Linked DNA regions of Arabidopsis thaliana. The protein of the gene in region 1 interacts with the protein of each later gene in a biochemical or structural test. Each region holds a gene or a part of one and is shown in the gene's direction. Other genes may lie near its edges.

Region 1 (5,464 bases):
TTTGTTTTTCAAAAATATTAACTAACCTGAATATTTTTTGGTACTATATAAGTAAAATTGCGTGGTAGGAAATTTTGACCTAAATCTGTGTTGATCAATTTTAGGTTCTTTCTCAAAACGCATTTTACAAGTAGGGAATAGAATTTGAAGAAGCATTGTGTTTAGGTTAAAAACTGAATCTCTCTATTCATCTTCCTTTTTTATTTTCATATAAATACCGATTTGATTTCATTTTATATCCATTCTTTATCTCTATTAATATATAGGGTTTAGAAATCAGGTGATATTCGCTTGATTAGATTCATCTTCTTATTATGCATTGAGGTTTGTGTTTTCATCTTCACACCTTCTCTAACATATTTGAGTGCAGTACAACGCAATCCACGATTTTGATTGGCTATTCTGATTACTATATTATTTAGAAACCTTAATCTCTTTACTGTTTAGAATTCACATAAAAATTCGTAGGTTGTGATTTTTTTTTTTCAGTTCGTGTATAGACCTAGGCATACGATTTTCCCTTTTGTTTTTGTTTTTTTCATGTTTCGGATTTTCGTGTTTAAGAAAAAGATTCTGTAAATATGTTTGTTTGATTCAGTTTAAAAGGAAAAAATTACATCATGTATTTCGATATATCCTATATTTAAATGTATTTTGTATATATTCTAGAAATGATCAAAAATGTACAATTACATTTTCTTTCTTTCTTTCACAGATTATGATGTTTCATCAAATGGACAAAATATCGACACCATGCGCGGCATGCAAGCACCTGAGGAGAAAATGCACAGAAGATTGTGTGTTTGCGCCTTACTTCCCCTCGACTAAACTGGACAACTACGAAGCGGTTCACAAGGTATTTGGAGCAAGCCATGTGGCTACACTTATCAACAGTCTTCACCCATGCCAAAGAGAATTTGCCATGGACACGCTCGCTTGGGAGGCACAAGTTCAAGCCAATGATCCGGTCAATGGCTGTCTGGGTATCATTTACAACCTCCTTAGTCAGATTAAAGACTTGGAAGAACAACTCGCGATCGTCAAGAACGAACTTGCCTCTTACTGTATCGTCCCCACATTTGTGCCACCACCTTCGATGACGAATCTGGAAATGCATAACAATCCTATGATGATACCGGAACACACACCTAATAACGGTGGTTGTTTAACGGGTCAACAGTTGTATAACGAGGCTCAACGTTTTGCATCCACACAAAGCGCTCAAATGCAAGAGACGCAGATGCAGCACGATGAGGAGAGTTACCGTGACAAAAGTTCTTATCAAAAATTTGGACCATGCTTTAACCTACATTAATCATTATCATATTGAATCTTGATAACAATGGTAAGCTTTTAAAATCTTTTTAAGTCTTGTCTAGTCGTTTGTATAACTACATTAAGATATAAATACAATTATTGTTTTTAGTTAACAAAACATCCGTTATCGTCCAGCGGTTAGGATATCTGGCTTTCACCCAGGAGACCCGGGTTCGATTCCCGGTAACGGAGCTTTTTTTGGTTTTTAAGATTCGAAAAAGTACTTTTTGCCTCATCACTATCTTTACGTTAATAAACTCAGCGGCAGTTCAAGCCGTAAACCTTAACATTTCTAATCAGGATCCTTAGTCAATTTGATTATTTCTTTTACAAATACTCCAACATTCAACAAGGACCTTGTGTAGAACTACACTCTGCCATAACAAAATAATAAAGGTGCACTTGTAGTTATGTACAAACGACTAGACAAGAGTTATAAAATTAGAAAAAGGTTAATGTAACATTGCTGTGTACGTGAAAACGTCTTATATGATCTATAAGAAGCTTTTTTTTGTTCGTGACAAAAACAATTTCTGACTTGGCTCAAAATACGACCACAATCACCCACATAAAGTTGGGATATTTTGGAAGTAAACAAGTACAAGTGAAGGTAAAACAATACATATATACATGAGACATTCACATAATTAATTTAAGAAAGACATAACAATTTACTCACCTCACAATTCGTACTCATTCAATTACAAATTTTAGGAGCAACCAAATTGTGTTGATAATATAGAACAGTAAAATTAATATTGATACCTAAAAAAACCAAAAAAAAAAATATTTGAAAAAAAAAAAAAAAAAATCACCAAAACGCGGCGGCCTTTGTCGTATCAAATCAGATAACTAAAACAAAGAAAACGGTGTCGTTGCAAACATCTCTCTCCTCTTATCTAACTTAGAGAGCGACCAATAATTGCCTTTGTCTTTCTCATTCGTCGTTGATCCATCTTTTTCCCCCAAATTCATATCCTTCCTTAGATATTTTTCTCCTTCTTCTTCTTCTAGATTCCAGCTACTCCAGAAGATTCTTCGACTTAATCTGATGTGATTAGGAAGAGCAATAGAGGAAGAGAAGAATCAGAAAAAATGGATCCGGCGACTAATTCACCGATTATGCCGATTGATTTACCGATTATGCACGACAGTGATCGTTACGACTTCGTTAAAGATATTGGCTCTGGTAATTTCGGCGTTGCTCGTCTCATGACCGATAGAGTCACCAAGGAGCTTGTTGCTGTTAAATACATCGAGAGAGGAGAAAAGGTTTCGTCTTTTTTTTTTTGAATGAAAAAAAGATTTGATATTTATAGGCTTTAGTGATTGATTGATGATCGATTATTTTTAGTTTCCAGATTTAGTAGCTTTCCTTTTTAGAGCTTGTTGATCTAGTGTCTTTAATGGTGGTTACTTACTGTTACTATGATTAAATGCTTTTGAAAAGTTTTGATATTTCTCAATAAATGATGATACTTTTTTTTATGGTTGTTTTGCAGATTGATGAAAATGTTCAGAGGGAGATTATCAATCATAGATCATTGAGACATCCTAATATTGTTAGGTTTAAAGAGGTATAATATAATACACCTTGATGTTTCTTCTGTGTGTGTTTGTGTATTAAGTCAGTGTGGTTTAGAGTTTGTTTTGTGTGTGTTTTTGTAATGGTTTAGGTGATTTTGACGCCTTCCCATTTGGCTATTGTTATGGAATATGCTGCTGGTGGAGAACTTTATGAGCGGATTTGTAATGCCGGACGGTTTAGTGAAGATGAGGTTTGGATTCTGATTTATCGTACTGTGTTGTGGTATTGATGTGTGACTACTGATCTTTAAGTTTTTTTATGTATAGGCTCGGTTCTTCTTTCAGCAGCTTATATCTGGAGTTAGCTATTGTCATGCAATGGTACGCAGAGCAGTGTTCTTGCAACTTACTTGAACTTTTCTCGTTCTCGTGTATACCACTCTGGTTTTAATTCTGTGTTTGATTTTCCTGTGAAGCAAATATGCCATCGGGATCTGAAGCTGGAAAATACATTGTTAGATGGAAGTCCGGCACCTCGTTTGAAAATATGTGATTTTGGTTATTCCAAGGTACTATTTATTTCTCTCAAGGTTTGTTTTCTGAATTCTAAGTTTATATATGCTACTGTATGGCCAAGCGCAGAACAGCGGGGGACATCTTGTGATTCCTCGTTGTGCTTCTTATCGTTCATGCTCTTTACCTACATGTGTTTCCTACTAAGTGTCTGTTTTCGCTTTGATTTCTGCTCAAGTATTAACTATGCGTTTCTTTTCTTCAGTCTTCTGTTCTTCATTCCCAACCAAAGTCAACTGTTGGTACTCCTGCATACATTGCACCAGAGATTCTTCTTCGACAGGAATATGATGGCAAGGTAAGGCCATGAGACCAATTCCTCTGTCTAGAGTTCAAACCAGCTTATCCATATGACTGTTTATACCACAAATATTCTTTGAGTTGTCCTCTGAAATAGCTGGTGTTACATTTTTCCAGCTTGCAGATGTATGGTCTTGCGGTGTAACATTATATGTAATGTTGGTTGGAGCTTATCCATTCGAGGATCCACAGGAGCCACGAGATTATCGAAAGACAATACAAGTAATGTTTTTCAATTGTTCTTGCTGTCTCATTCATCATCATTCACAAACTCATTATCTTTCAAACGTTGATTGTATATGTTTGCTTCTCCACTGATTTTAAAACGCAGAGAATCCTTAGTGTCACATACTCGATCCCAGAGGACTTACACCTCTCACCAGAATGTCGCCATCTAATATCGAGGATCTTCGTGGCTGATCCGGCAACAGTAAGTTTTACATTTCAAAGAAAACTTTGTTCTTTGAGTTCTAAATAGACAAACTGAGAGATCCAATGTGGCAGAGAATCACTATTCCGGAGATCACATCCGATAAATGGTTCTTGAAGAATCTACCAGGTGATTTGATGGATGAGAACCGAATGGGAAGTCAGTTTCAAGAGCCTGAGCAGCCAATGCAGAGCCTTGACACGATTATGCAGATAATATCGGAGGCTACGATTCCGACTGTTCGTAATCGTTGCCTCGATGATTTCATGGCGGATAATCTTGATCTAGACGATGACATGGATGACTTTGATTCCGAATCTGAGATTGATGTTGACAGTAGTGGAGAGATAGTTTATGCTCTCTGAGATTCCTGAGGACAAAGTCTGTTTTGTCCGTACTGTTGAGACACACCACTGGAGTTTTGTCTTAGCTCCACGCACTCCATCGTTCATTTTTGGATCGTTTGTTGTTTTTTACTCTACAAGCTTTGGATTCACATACATATATATGTATTGTAATGTAATATGTAATATATTCTATGTATTTCTCTTTGTTTAATAACTATTGGCACATTTTATACAAATGATATGGTACTAGAAAAAGAAATGTAACTAACCCACAAGGTTCTGAGATGGAGCTTAGCTTGAGTCTTGGTTAAGAATGTTATGATCTATGTTTCACACGACACACGATTTCATGTATAGTGTTATTCGACATCGTGATGGAGGACATGGCTTATGATCATCAGCTTTGATCATGCCGCTAGACATTTGATTAAGATTTGCAATTAGTAAAACTTAAACTGTCTATATTGATGAAAAGATTTAGCATTTTATGATACCATAATGTAGATTTGTGTGTGGATGAAAAATTTGTATAAATATTTTCTACCCTAGATTATGTAAAAGACATGTTTTCTGTGGAGAATGCTTGGTAATGCAATGTCTATTGACTATTGGCAACGACTATTGGCATTACGATAATTCATCAAGGAATCATTACTACTTCTCTCCAATTCATGATCAACTTTTGACACATGACAAAAATCTTCTTCTGTAAAAAAAAAGCTAAAGAGAAGATATTTATGTTACAAAAACTATGTTAATATGATTCGAAAAGTTAAAATAAGGAGAACAAAGAAATGTAACTAATAGTTAAACTTTTAGAGGATTTTTCTGATTTAAAATTAGAACATGTTAAATTTGCATAGGATAAGAATAACAATTTACCTTTTTCGTGCAGTAAGAAACATGTGAATACTATAATTTTCAATATTGACGGAAACAAATTTTCTGGTGTTGTGATTTTGGGACGTAA
Region 2 (5,362 bases), on another chromosome or scaffold:
TGGGCCTAGCCCAGTCCAATAGGTGATTCACGTCTCACTATTTTTGCAGCTTCACAAAAATGGTAAGTTGGTAACTTACTATTTCGAGCGAAAATAACTCAGTAATAACTTCCAGATTCGTCAAATTTCTCTTACCTTGTAATGAAGTTTAGATGTTTTAGCTTTATGTATAAAAATTTAAGAATATGGTCTAATTTTATATAATTTTCTTATTATCATTTTGTATTTGATATCATATTGACAAAATTTAACAAATAGATATTAGTTGTACTTCTATGTGACCGCCACTTTATTCAATACTACCTTTTAAGTTTTAACAGATCCGTGTAGCAACTGATCATCTCAAAATATGTGACACATAGTATACTATACAATATGAGCTGGTTTTGTTTTTTATTTTATATCGAAAGATATTTTACTTTATCTGACAGCTGCGAGAGATCCTAAAAAAAATGAATTAACTTTAAAGAAATTGCATGCGTCTATCTATCTACGTATATCTCAAAAATAAAAATAAAATCAAGGTCACATGACTCATATCCAGTGAATAAAAAATATTCATGAAATCGTAAATAAATAAATAAAAACAGAAATTCATATATACGTTTTTAGTTATATAACTATACGATTGGTTCAGTGTATTTGTTGCCCAACCAAAGCTACTTTCACTTCACATATCATTACATGGTCCAATGATTATGGAACACGTATTATTATTTTTGTTTAAAAACAAGTAAATAAATAAAACAGACACCAAATAAAAAAGGAAACACAAAGATATTTACGGAAGTTAAAAGAGAGGTGTTGTCTATGTCAGTGCAATGAACCTCTTCGGCTCATCTTTTCCCGCCATCCCAACTAACAGATCTCTCACCGTACACGCCATCCTCTTCACCAAATCTAATGACTTTCTCTCTGTCTACGTGGCGATCATCCGGTCTGTTTTCCGACAATAATGGGACCCATTTGATTGTTATTTCGAAAATGATTTTATTTTTCTTCAATATTGTTTTTTTCTTCAATATTGTTTTGGAAGTAAAAAGAATCATCTGTTGACAACACAACACTTCTTGCCTTCTCGAGTTTGATTCTCCTCCTTTCTGTTTTTGGTATCCACCCGATTGTCATTATTTTATTTTGAACTCTAGAACCAAAAATATCAGAGCAAGCTCTCTAGTCAGTAAATTTTGTAATTATTATAGTACCTCATTTTTATTAGTAGCATTAATGTACTAGTGTGGTCAGTGTAGATGAATATATTTTCTACTAAACTAATAAAAATTGTATCATAATTTGTATATTTTTTGGTGTTTTCATCTTTTACTATAAAATATATTTTTGTGACATATGGCATGTTACACTAAACAAAAAATAAAATAAAAGAAATTTGTTTTTGTATAAAATAAGTAAATTACGTTTTTTGTCGACCAATTTTGATTAAAGCTCAAAAGAAAAGAGCAATTCCTAAGAGATATTATTTTTATGTGAAATAAGTAAATTACTCATTATGTAAAAAGTTTGGATTTATCTTAAATCTAATTTCATAACGTTTAATGCAAGATATTTTGGTAAAATAGGAAACGTATAAAACATCTGTATTCAAAACTTCTATAAAGATACCCAATAATAATGGAGGGGTGACACGATAGTAAATAGAATAAGAAATAAAATTTAATCAAGTCAAAATAAAATAAATACCCTTTGTTTTTGTTTCCACAATTCCTTAAGTCTTTCTAATTACTTTGTTGTTCACTAAAACATCTCACATTGTGCTATTTTTTTTAATAAATAAAGACCTCTCTCTTTAAAACTGATTATCCCCTAAACTATTTGTTTGTGAGAAAGAAAGAGAAAAAAAAGTTTTTTTGGTTGGAAATTAATTGAGGGAGAGAGAGAGTTCAGAATCTCTAAATGGCTGAAACGAATTGCCCAGAATCCAGGAAACTCTGATTTTAGTCCTTTTTTCCTCGGGAAAACGTTTGCTTTTTCTTTTTTGTGTGTGTTTGGTTCTTTAATTGACAAATCTCTCTCTATCTGTTTCATGTGCTAGCTAAGGTTGTCTTCACTTTCCTCTAATGAGTCATGAGTTTCTTGTCTTCATCTTCATCTAATAAAGTTAACAACACTCTCATCAATTTTTATTATGTTCAAATCTGTCTGACTTTTCGTTCTTTTCTCTTACACCCAAGCGTTTTAACAATCTAACATCTGTCTCTTTGAATACTTAGATATCCAACTTCAATTTCTCTCCTTTCTCTTCCCAACTTTGATTCCTGATTTGGGTTTTTGTTAAAGTTCAAGAAAGTTCTTTTTTCTTTTTTTTTCCTCCTTTAATGGACGAAGTTTCTCCTGCAGTCGCTGTTCCATTCAGACCATTCACTGACCCTCACGCCGGACTTAGAGGCTATTGCAACGGTGAATCTAGGGTTACTTTACCGGAAAGTTCTTGTTCTGGCGACGGAGCTATGAAAGATTCTTCCTTTGAGATCAATACAAGACAAGATTCATTGACATCATCATCATCTGCTATGGCAGGTGTGGATATCTCCGCCGGAGATGAAATCAACGGTTCAGATGAGTTTGATCCGAGATCGATGAATCAGAGTGAGAAGAAAGTACTTAGTAGAACAGAGAGTAGAAGTCTGTTTGAGTTCAAGTGTGTTCCTTTATATGGAGTGACTTCGATTTGTGGTAGACGACCAGAGATGGAAGATTCTGTCTCAACGATTCCTAGATTCCTTCAAGTTTCTTCTAGTTCGTTGCTTGATGGTCGAGTCACTAATGGATTTAATCCTCACTTGAGTGCTCATTTCTTTGGTGTTTACGATGGCCATGGCGGTTCTCAGGTAATGAATCGATTTGGTTTCGATATGATATGATCGGAAACTGCAAAAACTTGGTTTTTGACATTTGTTTTTGTGTGTTTAGGTAGCGAATTATTGTCGTGAGAGGATGCATCTGGCTTTGACGGAGGAGATAGTGAAGGAGAAACCGGAGTTTTGTGACGGTGACACGTGGCAAGAGAAGTGGAAGAAGGCTTTGTTCAACTCTTTTATGAGAGTTGACTCGGAGATTGAAACTGTGGCTCATGCTCCGGAAACTGTTGGGTCTACCTCGGTGGTTGCGGTTGTCTTTCCGACTCACATCTTTGTCGCGAATTGCGGCGACTCTAGGGCGGTTTTGTGTCGCGGCAAAACGCCACTCGCGTTGTCGGTTGATCACAAAGTAAGTATAGATGTTTCTATGAATGAATTAGTACAATCATATATTCATTAGGACTTGCGGTTTTTTGTTATGGTGTTACCAATCATAGCATGTTTCTATAGATTAGTTAATGTACTTATAGCGTTTGGGTCTACATTTATGTGTAGCCGGATAGGGATGATGAAGCGGCGAGGATAGAAGCTGCCGGTGGGAAAGTAATCCGGTGGAACGGGGCTCGTGTATTTGGTGTTCTCGCAATGTCAAGATCCATTGGTAATTATTTAACTTTCTCTTGATAATGATCCATGAATTTGGTTCTTTTAGTTGTTTCCTTACATTACAACCCGTCGCGAACAGGCGATAGATACCTTAAACCGTCAGTAATTCCGGATCCAGAAGTGACTTCAGTGCGGCGAGTAAAAGAAGATGATTGTCTCATCTTAGCAAGTGATGGTCTTTGGGATGTAATGACAAACGAAGAAGTGTGCGATTTGGCTCGGAAACGGATTTTACTATGGCATAAGAAGAACGCGATGGCCGGAGAGGCTTTGCTTCCGGCGGAGAAAAGAGGAGAAGGAAAAGATCCTGCAGCAATGTCCGCGGCAGAGTATTTGTCGAAGATGGCTTTGCAAAAAGGAAGCAAAGACAATATAAGTGTGGTAGTGGTTGATTTGAAGGGAATAAGGAAATTCAAGAGCAAATCCTTGAATTGAAAAAGAAGGTTTGGAAGAAAAGTGAAAAAAAAAGTTTTGATGGTGGGTAAAAATTCTCTTTAGTGAAAAAAGAAAGATAAAACAACAGGTAATAATTACATTGTAATATTAATTTCCTGCTTAAATTTGTTATTTACTTTCTTAGTCTTCCCACCATTATTTAATCTTTTTATATTTATTTTACTAACATGATATATATAATGTACATGGGAATAGTGTAACTTCCAAACAAAAAGCCCCCTTGTATTTTTTTTTATCTTGGGGTTAGTTGTAATAACACTACATTCGTCTACGTAAATATTTAGTGTTATTATTTGATGTTTCATAACTTCTCTTTGTGTGTGTGTTTTCGTTAGAGTGATATAGTTTCAATAGTATTGACATCATTTTTTCATTACCAAAAATTACATTAGTCTTCATCACCATAATTTTTTCATTTTGTTTAAATCTACTAAACCAACCAGAATATGGGATGGTTGAATAAACGTCACAATAATTTGTAAATCCATGTGAATGTTTAGATTGTAGGTGATTGAAGACAAAATAATACATACTTATATCACAAGTTAATTGTAAAGTGGTGTGTAAGGCAGCTTTTATCCCCAAGAAAAATCATCTTTTTATCACATCAACATTATTCAACAATTACACAAAAAGGTAAATATCATATTTAAATGTGAAAGAATATAAATAAAATTAGTCTTGTGAAAAATTTAATCTCTTCGAATAACATTGTTTTATTATTCTTATTTCATAAAAAAGGAAAGAAGTAAGCGTTGGTTAGTAAAAGAGTGTTTTTTACTTTCTCAAGAGTTTCAATTTCTTCTTCTTCAGCTTTATACGCATTTAAAGCGCCGACGAAGTTGAACACTGAAGAAGAAAAAGAGGAGACGACACGATTTTTGTCTGAATTATCAGATTCAGATTTCGTTTAATCGCCAGATTCATTTCGAAAAATCTTGCACTAGATTCTCTTATCTTCGGTGAGCTCTCTCTGCGATCTTTGTTTTTTTTTCCGAGCAATTTCCGGTATTTAATGAAACGATGGATCGACGAATTGATTTATTTGTAAAGCTAATCCTGTAGACAACTGAGCTCAAAACATTCAATTTTTGTTAAAGAGACGAGTCGTATCTCGAGTTTGAAGTTTTCGCGGTTGCTGATTGATTTGATGGGGATTTGAAATTTATAGTGTGAGTTTTGGTTAGTTGCTGCTAGGGTTTTCGAATCACACTTTGTATTGTTGGTCTTGTGTTGATTGAAATGTATCTCTAGTCTTTGATTACTGCTTGTGAAATTCTGATGTTTTTATTATGATTGCAGGGAAATTGAAGATCTGGGTCATAAGCAATAGCTTAAAGCATGGACGAAAGTAATTATCTCTCTTGACTCTTCAACTATGAGCTTTGAGGTTAATTTTACTAGAATATTGAGTCACAGAGTTC
Region 3 (6,022 bases), on another chromosome or scaffold:
CCCATTTCAAGGCGTGTTGGCTGTTCTTGTCCTTATCAATGGCGATCGCCGTGATACTGCCATAGTCCTCCGAGGTCCTTCTAACTCTTCTTGCAGACATGTTAGAATCTTGCTTCCCAAGAAACATGAATAACCTGCTTCACAAGGAAACTATAATACTCATAAATGATCTCATGTCTTCTTTGTCACAAAACACCCACAACCAAGATCGATTGTGTTGTTTTTCTTTTGTCTGGCTTTGCAACCTCAGAGAAGAAACAATGAACAATGAAAAGAAACAGAAAATTGTATTGTGAGATGATGAAGCTTTTAGTGGTTTTACAATTTTTCTAATTTTGGAGGGTTTATTTCTCAAACAACTCAACAGTCTTGTGAAACAAACAAACAAGAATGGAAATTTCCACAAGTCTCAACTTATCTTTAATTAGAGAGTGATTTTTGGGAAGTTGCTGGTGAGATCTAGTTTGTACTATAATGTACGCGTTTCGATTAAAATAAAATTCGATTATACATTATCAAAATATTAAATCGATTATTTTATCTTAATCAGTAAAACAAAGTTTTTAGATAAAAATATTAGTAAAACTAGTCAAACATATGGTTTAGTCTTTTAGGTTTATATAGACTAGAGGTTGAACCAAAAAAGAGAGTAAAATAGACTAGAGAATAGAATGTTATGTTTAAACATGATCACACATCTCAATTTACACACATTTACTTAATTTGAGTTTCGATAATAATGCAACAGCAATATATGTATCTACGAATTTGAAATTTATGAGTACAAAATCTAGAGGTGTAACAAAATATTTATTATTTTCGTCCCTGATCAATCAGAGTAGCCACGTGGGCGGGTGGTAGAAATCGAAATTATTGCGATTATTGACTTGGAAAAAAACAAACACACGTTGCATTTTTTGATTTACGTATCCAAAAAGAACAAAGAAAAAAAGGTAAACGACCAAATAATATAATTTTCTGGGGCTGTCGTCTTCCATCTTTATTTCTTCTTGGCGATATCACCATATCTTATACGTCTCTCGAAAGATTATTACTCTTAAGACGATTCCATTAAACACTGATTGTGAGAACTTGTACTTTAACGTTATCGAAAAGTATACATAAATATTTTTATTTTTTTAGGCTGATTCATTCTTACTGATAACAATAATTTTGTGTTATTCTTTCTTACCTAGAGAGTTCTATAGACAAGTTCGTAACTATAAAACCAATCTTTATTTCTTACTCATAGCTTTCAAAACTAAAACTTGATCAGTTTAAATAAAATATATGGGAAATTTTTGCTGAACCAATATATTACGTGTCAAGATTTCATTGATCCTATTAATACAATTTATTCATTTTACAGTTATATCAAATACAAATTACAACTAAGATACTCACTTATCTACACGTCAGATTGTACAACTAAGATACTCACTTATCTATATCTAATTTTCGTGGTTAATATTACATGTCAAAATTTTATGGAAATAATTAGTGTTTTTCTACTTTATATAAATTTTTATGATATATTTTTTTTTTAAAAAAAGGAAAGAGAAAGAAATCAATTTCCATTTGTAAACATATTTTTGGTTCTGAAAATAAATAAATGGGAAAAAAAGGAATTAAATAACATCTGTTGTTGTTAGCTGATCGACAGGTGTTGCCTGAAGCGACCTTAAAAAAAGAAAAAGGACAAAAAGTTGAAGAAAAAAAGAGGACAAAGTTCACAAAATGATACAAAGACTAATACGTGTCCTTTTATTAATCCTCTTTTGTAATAAATACTCTTTTTTCCTATAAATTATATTACAAAACCAAAGAAAAAAAGGAATAAAAAAAAACAGAGAGAAAAAGCAAACCACACAATATTCTCTTCTCTCTCTCTTTGTTTCGCTGATAGAGAGAGCCTCTCTCTAAGCAATTTAGCTCGAGCGAGAAATAATCCTGAGGGAAGAAAATAAAAAGAAGAAGAAGAAGAAGAACATCTTTACTTTTGTTCTCTCTCTCTCTTCTGTTCGATTTTAATTTTTTTGCAGATGCGAATATCTTCTAAAGATTCATCAACTGGTTAGTTCTTTCTCTCTTCTTTTTTCTTTCCTGATTTTTTTATGTTGTTTTTCTGTGTAGTTAGCTTTTCAATCGGAAGATTTTTGCTATTATGTGTCGAATCTCTCTTGTTGTTTTGAGCTTTGTGTTTAGTTTTGCTTAAGAACAAAGTTTAAATTCATCTTTCTATTTCTGGGTAAAGCTAAAGCTTCTTTTTTAATTTAGATCCAAGGAAACCCATGTTCTACTATATGATTATGGACGTTAATGGTTCGAATTTTTTAGGGCTTTCTTGTGATTGATTTCGCTGATTTTCCCTCCTTTTTCTGGTTTTTGTGTGAATTTTCTTTGACATGACCGTTTGGATAATGATTCGTGAGTTTTTGATTAGTGCTTTGTGATCTCTCAATAGGGTTGAAATCAAGATAAGGATTTGAGAAAAGATCGACGAAGTTGTTGCGATTTTGGGATCAAGAGAGTGATATAATCGAGTGAGGAGAATTCGTCGTATAGATTCGTCAGATCTGGTTATCTCCGGTACTTAATTCTCCTTGATTCGTCGTTTTAACTATGCTAAGTTAGTGTATGAATAAAGCGGCATTTGGGTCGCTGACAAAAACTTATTTGGAGCAAGGATTCTTCAACATCATGAAACCATTGCTTAGAGTATTCGAAGAAGAAGATGAAAACAATTGATTTCTCCTAAGTCCATCTTTGAAATTTAAAGCTTTGTTGTGGTGTGGTGTGGAAATCTCTGATTTTGGAGAGCTCATGGAGGAGATGACTCCCGCAGTTGCAATGACTCTTAGCTTAGCAGCCAACACCATGTGTGAATCATCACCTGTCGAGATCACTCAGCTAAAGAACGTTACTGATGCAGCTGACTTGTTATCTGATTCTGAAAATCAAAGCTTTTGCAACGGAGGGACTGAATGCACTATGGAAGATGTTTCTGAACTGGAAGAGGTAGGTGAACAGGATTTGTTGAAAACTTTATCCGATACGAGAAGCGGGTCTTCCAATGTTTTTGATGAAGACGATGTATTGTCTGTTGTGGAGGATAATAGTGCTGTCATAAGTGAGGGCTTGTTAGTTGTTGATGCAGGCTCTGAATTAAGCTTGTCTAATACAGCTATGGAAATAGATAACGGGCGAGTTCTTGCAACCGCGATTATCGTAGGCGAATCAAGCATTGAGCAGGTTCCCACCGCGGAAGTTCTTATCGCGGGTGTAAATCAGGATACCAATACTTCGGAGGTTGTCATTAGATTGCCAGATGAAAATAGTAATCATCTGGTGAAAGGGAGAAGTGTTTATGAACTAGATTGTATACCGCTTTGGGGCACGGTTTCCATTCAAGGGAATAGATCTGAGATGGAGGATGCTTTTGCCGTGTCACCTCATTTTCTGAAACTACCCATCAAAATGCTTATGGGGGACCATGAGGGTATGAGTCCAAGCCTCACACACCTCACCGGTCATTTTTTCGGTGTTTATGATGGTCATGGAGGCCATAAGGTATGCTATATTCACATTTTATGTAAGTTGTTTTAGCAATGTAGATTGTTATACACCTCTTTGAGATGTTCTGGTTAAATTCATAGATTTTAAATCTACAATGGCTTGTAGGTTGCTGACTATTGCCGAGATAGACTCCATTTTGCTTTGGCTGAAGAAATAGAACGTATAAAAGACGAATTATGCAAGAGGAATACAGGAGAGGGTAGGCAGGTGCAGTGGGATAAAGTCTTCACGAGTTGTTTTCTAACTGTCGATGGTGAGATTGAAGGAAAAATTGGTAGAGCCGTTGTTGGTTCTTCTGATAAGGTTCTTGAGGCTGTTGCGTCTGAGACCGTAGGATCAACTGCTGTTGTTGCCTTGGTTTGCTCATCACATATAGTAGTTTCTAACTGCGGTGATTCGAGGGCGGTTTTATTCCGTGGCAAAGAAGCCATGCCCTTGTCAGTTGATCACAAAGTAAAATGAACTTCCTTTTCTTTCCCCAATCTAACTTACAAAGTTGATAAAAGTGTTTTCTTACCTCCTTCCATTTTTCTGCAGCCAGATAGAGAGGATGAATATGCAAGAATAGAAAATGCTGGAGGCAAAGTTATACAATGGCAAGGCGCACGTGTTTTTGGTGTTCTCGCCATGTCTAGGTCCATCGGTAAGCATTGCTTCTTTTGATGACCAGTAATGCACATCACACAAACGTGGCTTGATAATGTAATTACTCCCCTACATGAAACATTAGATCCTCCGGTTTCTTTCCTCCTCTGGAACTATGCAGGTGACAGATATCTGAAGCCATATGTGATCCCAGAACCGGAAGTGACATTCATGCCTCGGTCAAGAGAAGACGAGTGTCTCATACTAGCCAGTGACGGTCTTTGGGATGTAATGAACAACCAAGAAGTCTGCGAAATAGCAAGGAGACGGATATTGATGTGGCACAAGAAGAACGGTGCACCGCCTCTAGCAGAGAGAGGCAAAGGAATAGATCCAGCTTGCCAAGCCGCAGCTGACTACCTCTCAATGCTTGCTCTACAAAAAGGAAGTAAAGACAACATCTCCATCATTGTGATTGACTTGAAAGCTCAAAGAAAGTTCAAGACCAGAACCTGAAGCTTAATTACAAGCAGTACGCTTACTTACTTTTTTTTTTACTGGGGGTAAGTTTCGAGTTTTCGTATAATTTAGATCGTTAAGGATCTAATTTCGACAGGTTTTTACATGTTAATTACTCAATATTGTTAGAAGGGAGAAAAAATAAAGAAAAAAAATGGAAATGCGGGTTGGGGAGGAGAAGTAAAGACTAAAGACTGAAGATTAAGAAGATGATGCATAGCTAATTATAAGTACATTCCTTTTTTTCTCATGGTACTTGAATTCGTATGTATAAGAAGAAATAGGCAGAGAAATGCTTTTTTTTTTTGGGGTATTGAAATAGTTGAATATGTTGTAATAGTTTGAGAGATGTGGCAAATGAAATTGTAATTGAAACTATGTCACATTAACCTTCTTGCATTTGTCTTTTCATGTTGTGTTCTTCGCTGTTCTATAACTTAACGGTGAGATGAGAGTTTATTGGGGGTTTAACCACAGGTCGATTTTTATTTTGATGTTAAGTATTGATAAAGCAATACACTTAGCAAAAGGTGGACGTGCCGGAGTGGTTATCGGGCATGACTAGAAATCATGTGGGCTTTGCCCGCGCAGGTTCGAATCCTGCCGTTCACGTTTTTCATTTTTTTTTCTGTTATCATCACATTTTCCATAACTTACCTTAATCATCTAACATTTTAGAGTCTTTACGAAATGTTAATATTTCTTTTCTTAAATTGAGTAGAAATAGAAATCAACCTCATACCTACAAATGTGGAAGTGACGTGTGAAACCGTAAGTGTATTTAAATCAAACTTAGAAAGCTGTTAATCATTGGCACCACATAAAATCTAGCTTGTGAGAGAAAGTTTATCGTTTTTAGATAAGTTATCAAGATAACAAGACTTGATTAGATTATAGTATGTTGCCTTTGACGGTTTGGCCTGGCCATTTGTAAAAGCCACGACAACACCGGCTCTCATATAATTATTAAAAGACTAATTAGTAATCACGGCCTCAGCTTCACATAGAAAACGTGTTTATTAACACGTTAGACATATGATTCCGTTGAACAATTTTGATTATTTGACGTACCAATCTGTATTTGCTTCATGTAATCCAGCTGTATTAGTAGGCCTTTCTTTGTATTTCCCATTTCCAACTTTCACAAGCAAATACCACCATTTTCCAGCTTGTCTAACAAGTTATTAAAATAAAAATAAAAAATTCCCCCAAAAAAATCATGTGTCAATTGAACCTTCTCTTAGGCATGACCGTATGACCAAAGTTTGGTTCGGATTTTAAAAGATCAAGATTTGACAATTCTATAAAAAAAAAATTTGGGTGTAAATGTCATTTGTCTAGA
Region 4 (5,113 bases), on another chromosome or scaffold:
TTCTTCTCAGTTTATCTAAAAGAAATAGCTTTCAATAAAAAATCAATGTTTTTTCTACTTTTGTAATAATTTGTAAAAAAAAAACGGTAGATGATTGGTACATTGTATTTGAGGTGTCTTGGGTATTTTGTCTCTTGCCCATCATCCAAAGCCCACTTTCACACATCTCCCATATGAATAACATATCATTACACATTGTCCAAAGAAAACCGCACAAGTGGCATCAAACATATGGAACATGAATAAATACTTCTTTTTTATCTATCTGTTGACGAATAAATATTTATTGAGATATTAGAGAAAATAGAATAATAATGAGGAGAGGAAAAAAGAGAGTTTAAAGACAAGATATTTACGGAATTTAATGGGACGAAAGAAAAATAATATAAAAGGGGGACCTGTCTTTGTCAGTGCAATGAACCTTTTTTTCTTTCGATCAAATCTCTCCCGCCACCCAACTAACACATCTTAAACCGTACACGTCACCCTCTCTCCTTCCCATTTTCTTCGTCTACGTGTCGACCATCCACCGGTTTTTGTTTTCTGCTAAACGTGGGACCTATTCACATTTTTATTTTATTTTAAAAAATTGGACGGATTCTTTCATGTTCTTTGGGTCGTTGCATAATTATGTCCATGAGTCTATCCATCAAAATACCTTCGGAATCATCTTTTTATTTTATATATATACTGCGACAACAATAATTTTATGTTTTGTACTGTCTTTTCTGGTCAATAAAAAAAACTAAAAATTTGGTCGAATTTAATGGACTTCCATGACCAACTCTTCATTTCCCTTAAGGATAAATTGAGAAGAAAATTATATACTGGAATTTGAAAAAGCTTTATATAATTGTAACGTATTTTTATAATTGCACGACAAATCTCTTTTCTTGATTTTTTGTATGAAACTACAAAGACCAATTTTTCTAACAACTAAGATTCAGTTATTATTTTTGGTCACATAAATAAATGAGACGATAACTTCATAATGGTTTTGGTTTTGAGTTTGACCAAAAATGGTTTTCAAGATAAATAATTAGATGAATAATGAAACGTACCCCTTAAATAACAATTATTTAGATATTTTACCGGTGGTCTTTCATTTTTCCCGAATATAAAACATTGAATTCTTATCTAAAGGACAAAGTATTGTTCTTATTCTGAAAATGACACAAATTTAAAATTTTTATTTAAATCTATGAATATCTAAATGGTATATTATGTTTGGTGTTTTTTAGTCCAATGATTAGGAATTACGAATAATGTTTTCGTAATTCAAACTCTATTTATTTAGATTGAAAACTATATGACAAATAAAATAATTGCAAAACAATACAAGATTTAACTCGGACTACGACACGTCATTTAATGAAAGTCATCTTTATGAAAATATAAAATCCATTAAACTGATGACCTAACTAAAGTTAAAAGCAAACATATTTTATTTTGTTTGACAAACAAAAAAGAAATATATTTCTCCCAAAGAAAAAAAAAACCAAAAAACTTTATGTTTGTTAAAAAAATAAGAAATGATAAAAGCATTTTTTTTAAAAAAAATGTTGAATATAGGAAGTCTGAAGCAAGTGTCTTTTTATGAATTAAATAGTTTAAAATTTCAAGAACGAAACATCTCCCCTTATTACAAAAAATAAATAAGCCAAAAAAAGTATCACTTTAATAATGTAATAAAATAAAGTGATATGTATATAAGTATACATACATAAATAGTAGATTCGAAGCAATTGTTGCATTAGCCTACCCATTTCCTCCTTCTTTCTCTCTTCTATCTGTGAACAAGGCACATTAGAACTCTTCTTTTCAACTTTTTTAGGTGTATATAGATGAATCTAGAAATAGTTTTATAGTTGGAAATTAATTGAAGAGAGAGAGATATTACTACACCAATCTTTTCAAGAGGTCCTAACGAATTACCCACAATCCAGGAAACCCTTATTGAAATTCAATTCATTTCTTTCTTTCTGTGTTTGTGATTTTCCCGGGAAATATTTTTGGGTATATGTCTCTCTGTTTTTGCTTTCCTTTTTCATAGGAGTCATGTGTTTCTTCTTGTCTTCCTAGCTTCTTCTAATAAAGTCCTTCTCTTGTGAAAATCTCTCGAATTTTCATTTTTGTTCCATTGGAGCTATCTTATAGATCACAACCAGAGAAAAAGATCAAATCTTTACCGTTAATGGAGGAAGTATCTCCGGCGATCGCAGGTCCTTTCAGGCCATTCTCCGAAACCCAGATGGATTTCACCGGGATCAGATTGGGTAAAGGTTACTGCAATAACCAATACTCAAATCAAGATTCCGAGAACGGAGATCTAATGGTTTCGTTACCGGAGACTTCATCATGCTCTGTTTCTGGGTCACATGGTTCTGAATCTAGGAAAGTTTTGATTTCTCGGATCAATTCTCCTAATTTAAACATGAAGGAATCAGCAGCTGCTGATATAGTCGTCGTTGATATCTCCGCCGGAGATGAGATCAACGGCTCAGATATTACTAGCGAGAAGAAGATGATCAGCAGAACAGAGAGTAGGAGTTTGTTTGAATTCAAGAGTGTGCCTTTGTATGGTTTTACTTCGATTTGTGGAAGAAGACCTGAGATGGAAGATGCTGTTTCGACTATACCAAGATTCCTTCAATCTTCCTCTGGTTCGATGTTAGATGGTCGGTTTGATCCTCAATCCGCCGCTCATTTCTTCGGTGTTTACGACGGCCATGGCGGTTCTCAGGTAAAAGATTGGATCTTTTGATTAGGGTTGTTTACAGTTTGCAGAATCTGATTTGGTTGTTGTTGTGTAGGTAGCGAACTATTGTAGAGAGAGGATGCATTTGGCTTTGGCGGAGGAGATAGCTAAGGAGAAACCGATGCTCTGCGATGGTGATACGTGGCTGGAGAAGTGGAAGAAAGCTCTTTTCAACTCGTTCCTGAGAGTTGACTCGGAGATTGAGTCAGTTGCGCCGGAGACGGTTGGGTCAACGTCGGTGGTTGCCGTTGTTTTCCCGTCTCACATCTTCGTCGCTAACTGCGGTGACTCTAGAGCCGTTCTTTGCCGCGGCAAAACTGCACTTCCATTATCCGTTGACCATAAAGTAAGCATATATAGACTCAAGATCTATAGTTGGATTGGTTGTGAACTTGTGATAGGTTTTTAGTTTTCAAGATGTTGAGTTAGAGAGGTTTATGAAACCATTTCTGATGTGTGCTTGTGTTATGTGTGTAGCCGGATAGAGAAGATGAAGCTGCGAGGATTGAAGCCGCAGGAGGGAAAGTGATTCAGTGGAATGGAGCTCGTGTTTTCGGTGTTCTCGCCATGTCGAGATCCATTGGTAAGCTTTCATTATATTTCTCCATAAAGCTTCTCAATGGTTCTTGAAATAGAAGAAACCTTTCTTCTTACAAACATTTATCATTGTGACAGGCGATAGATACTTGAAACCATCCATCATTCCTGATCCGGAAGTGACGGCTGTGAAGAGAGTAAAAGAAGATGATTGTCTGATTTTGGCGAGTGACGGGGTTTGGGATGTAATGACGGATGAAGAAGCGTGTGAGATGGCAAGGAAGCGGATTCTCTTGTGGCACAAGAAAAACGCGGTGGCTGGGGATGCATCGTTGCTCGCGGATGAGCGGAGAAAGGAAGGGAAAGATCCTGCGGCGATGTCCGCGGCTGAGTATTTGTCAAAGCTGGCGATACAGAGAGGAAGCAAAGACAACATAAGTGTGGTGGTGGTTGATTTGAAGCCTCGGAGGAAACTCAAGAGCAAACCCTTGAACTGAGGCAGAGAGGGTCCTTTTTCTTAATTTTTAAAATGAATATGGGTCTCTCCAAGAAAAAGTATTTACTATTATTAATTTGTGCTTATTTTTTTAACTAACAAGTTATAACCATATGGAGATAATGAAGCTTAATGTGTTAAGCTCTTTTGTCTTGACTACATTCTAAAAAGCCCCTTGTATTTTTCTTCCCGGGCTAATTGTAATATGGTTACAACATACATTAAGATGTAGTATTATTGTTTATGCAATTACTTTCAAAACTTTACATACGAAAATAGAAAGATACTTAAACTATGTACAAAACAAAATGTGTATAATGATATGAACTACTATATAAGTATATCCACCACTAGCAGAGAAACATAACTGATGATAGTTGTGTTTATAATAGTGATGTGAAAAGTACACACATTAAATCAAATTTTGTAGACAAGTCTCTTAAGTCATAACATCTCGTAAATTTATCTTTCATAAAATCTCTTCTAGTGGATATGAAATAATAACTTGGAGGTTAAAAGATTGTTCAAACTCGGTTCTAGTTAGCAAGTGGGGGAATCAAAGATCCTGCGTCGGTGAAGTAAGCCGAGAGATTTGTATCCGAATCTTCAAACATCTTTACGAACTTGTGTTCCTATTCACCAAGATGGAACCAGAAAAAAGATCGTTAAAAGTAGTCCAAGACAGTACAAGGTGAAAGACTCAGAGTCTTATATGATTAACGCACCAGAAGCTCCTTTGCTGATTTTCTGTCCCTTGGATCTTTTTGTACACTACACAAGTTAAAGCACCATTTCAAATGCCTACTCGTTATAGCAACAAAAATGACATGACAACTGGTCGAAATCTGTCTCACCATTGCGAGATGAAGGAGCAAAACTCTGGAGAAAAGAGATTGGAAGGTGCACAAGGAGGCGGGTTTTCAACAATGGCGTCCACAAGCTCGTACACGCTACTCCATCCTTTCTTGTGTTCTGGAGGAGTATACGGGAATTTACCCGTTGCACATTCGAGCAAAACCAGTCCCAAGCTCCAAATATCGCTCTTGTTACTGTACAAACTCCCGCTGATTCTCTCTGGCTGCAAAACATGATAACAACACCAGTAAGTCGTATAAAACCACTTGTAACTCTGAAAATTGAGTTTGTATGTATATTGAGTGTTGAGAGGTGAATGGAGGAGACTCACAGACATATAAGGGTATGTGCCCACGAAAGAATTAGCAAGACTACTTGTGCTTGTCAAGATCTTGCTGACACCAAAGTCTGTGATCTTGACTTCACCTCTATGATTGATTAGCAAGTTTGAAGGCTTTAAGTCCCGA

What was found.
Region 2: the proteins of SNRK2.2 (region 1) and ABI2 form a complex in vitro, tested with the Arabidopsis thaliana proteins (2 studies listed by BioGRID, with this or other methods).
Region 3: the proteins of SNRK2.2 (region 1) and HAB1 form a complex in vitro, tested with the Arabidopsis thaliana proteins (2 studies listed by BioGRID, with this or other methods).
Region 4: the proteins of SNRK2.2 (region 1) and ABI1 form a complex in vitro, tested with the Arabidopsis thaliana proteins (one study listed by BioGRID).

Annotation. Positions count from the first base shown.
Region 1 is NC_003074.8:18,740,853-18,746,316, reverse strand, and holds SNRK2.2 (SNF1-related protein kinase 2.2), read left to right. Parts: upstream 1-2,159; 5' UTR 2,160-2,412; coding exon 2,413-2,589; intron 2,590-2,819; coding exon 2,820-2,894; intron 2,895-2,993; coding exon 2,994-3,095; intron 3,096-3,171; coding exon 3,172-3,225; intron 3,226-3,320; coding exon 3,321-3,434; intron 3,435-3,622; coding exon 3,623-3,715; intron 3,716-3,834; coding exon 3,835-3,939; intron 3,940-4,048; coding exon 4,049-4,147; intron 4,148-4,221; coding exon 4,222-4,512; 3' UTR 4,513-4,723; downstream 4,724-5,464. Other genes in the region: LBD28 (LOB domain-containing protein 28), read left to right, coding at 719-1,315. UniProt on the Arabidopsis thaliana protein: Together with SRK2I, key component and activator of the abscisic acid (ABA) signaling pathway that regulates numerous ABA responses, such as seed germination, Pro accumulation, root growth inhibition, dormancy and seedling growth, and, to a lesser extent, stomatal closure.
Region 2 is NC_003076.8:23,085,387-23,090,748, forward strand, and holds ABI2 (Protein phosphatase 2C family protein), read left to right. Parts: upstream 1-1,735; 5' UTR 1,736-2,333; coding exon 2,334-2,846; intron 2,847-2,928; coding exon 2,929-3,225; intron 3,226-3,371; coding exon 3,372-3,477; coding exon of another isoform or gene 3,478-3,500; exon of another isoform or gene 3,501-3,561; coding exon 3,562-3,917; 3' UTR 3,918-4,242; downstream 4,243-5,362. UniProt on the Arabidopsis thaliana protein: Repressor of the abscisic acid (ABA) signaling pathway that regulates numerous ABA responses, such as stomatal closure, osmotic water permeability of the plasma membrane (Pos), high light stress, response to glucose, seed germination and inhibition of vegetative growth.
Region 3 is NC_003070.9:27,388,175-27,394,196, forward strand, and holds HAB1 (HYPERSENSITIVE TO ABA1), read left to right. Parts: upstream 1-1,773; 5' UTR 1,774-2,073; intron 2,074-2,464; 5' UTR 2,465-2,823; coding exon 2,824-3,570; intron 3,571-3,681; coding exon 3,682-4,029; intron 4,030-4,113; coding exon 4,114-4,219; coding exon of another isoform or gene 4,220-4,239; exon of another isoform or gene 4,240-4,342; coding exon 4,343-4,677; 3' UTR 4,678-5,153; downstream 5,154-6,022. Other genes in the region: AT1G72760 (Protein kinase superfamily protein), read right to left, coding at 1-127. UniProt on the Arabidopsis thaliana protein: Key component and repressor of the abscisic acid (ABA) signaling pathway that regulates numerous ABA responses, such as stomatal closure, seed germination and inhibition of vegetative growth. Confers enhanced sensitivity to drought.
Region 4 is NC_003075.7:13,218,910-13,224,022, reverse strand, and holds ABI1 (Protein phosphatase 2C family protein), read left to right. Parts: upstream 1-1,646; 5' UTR 1,647-2,194; coding exon 2,195-2,743; intron 2,744-2,813; coding exon 2,814-3,104; intron 3,105-3,235; coding exon 3,236-3,341; intron 3,342-3,433; coding exon 3,434-3,792; 3' UTR 3,793-4,108; downstream 4,109-5,113. Other genes in the region: MEK1 (MAP kinase/ ERK kinase 1), read right to left, coding at 4,328-4,423, 4,517-4,562, 4,646-4,869, 4,978-5,113. UniProt on the Arabidopsis thaliana protein: Key component and repressor of the abscisic acid (ABA) signaling pathway that regulates numerous ABA responses, such as stomatal closure, osmotic water permeability of the plasma membrane (Pos), drought-induced resistance and rhizogenesis, response to glucose, high light stress, seed germination and inhibition of vegetative growth.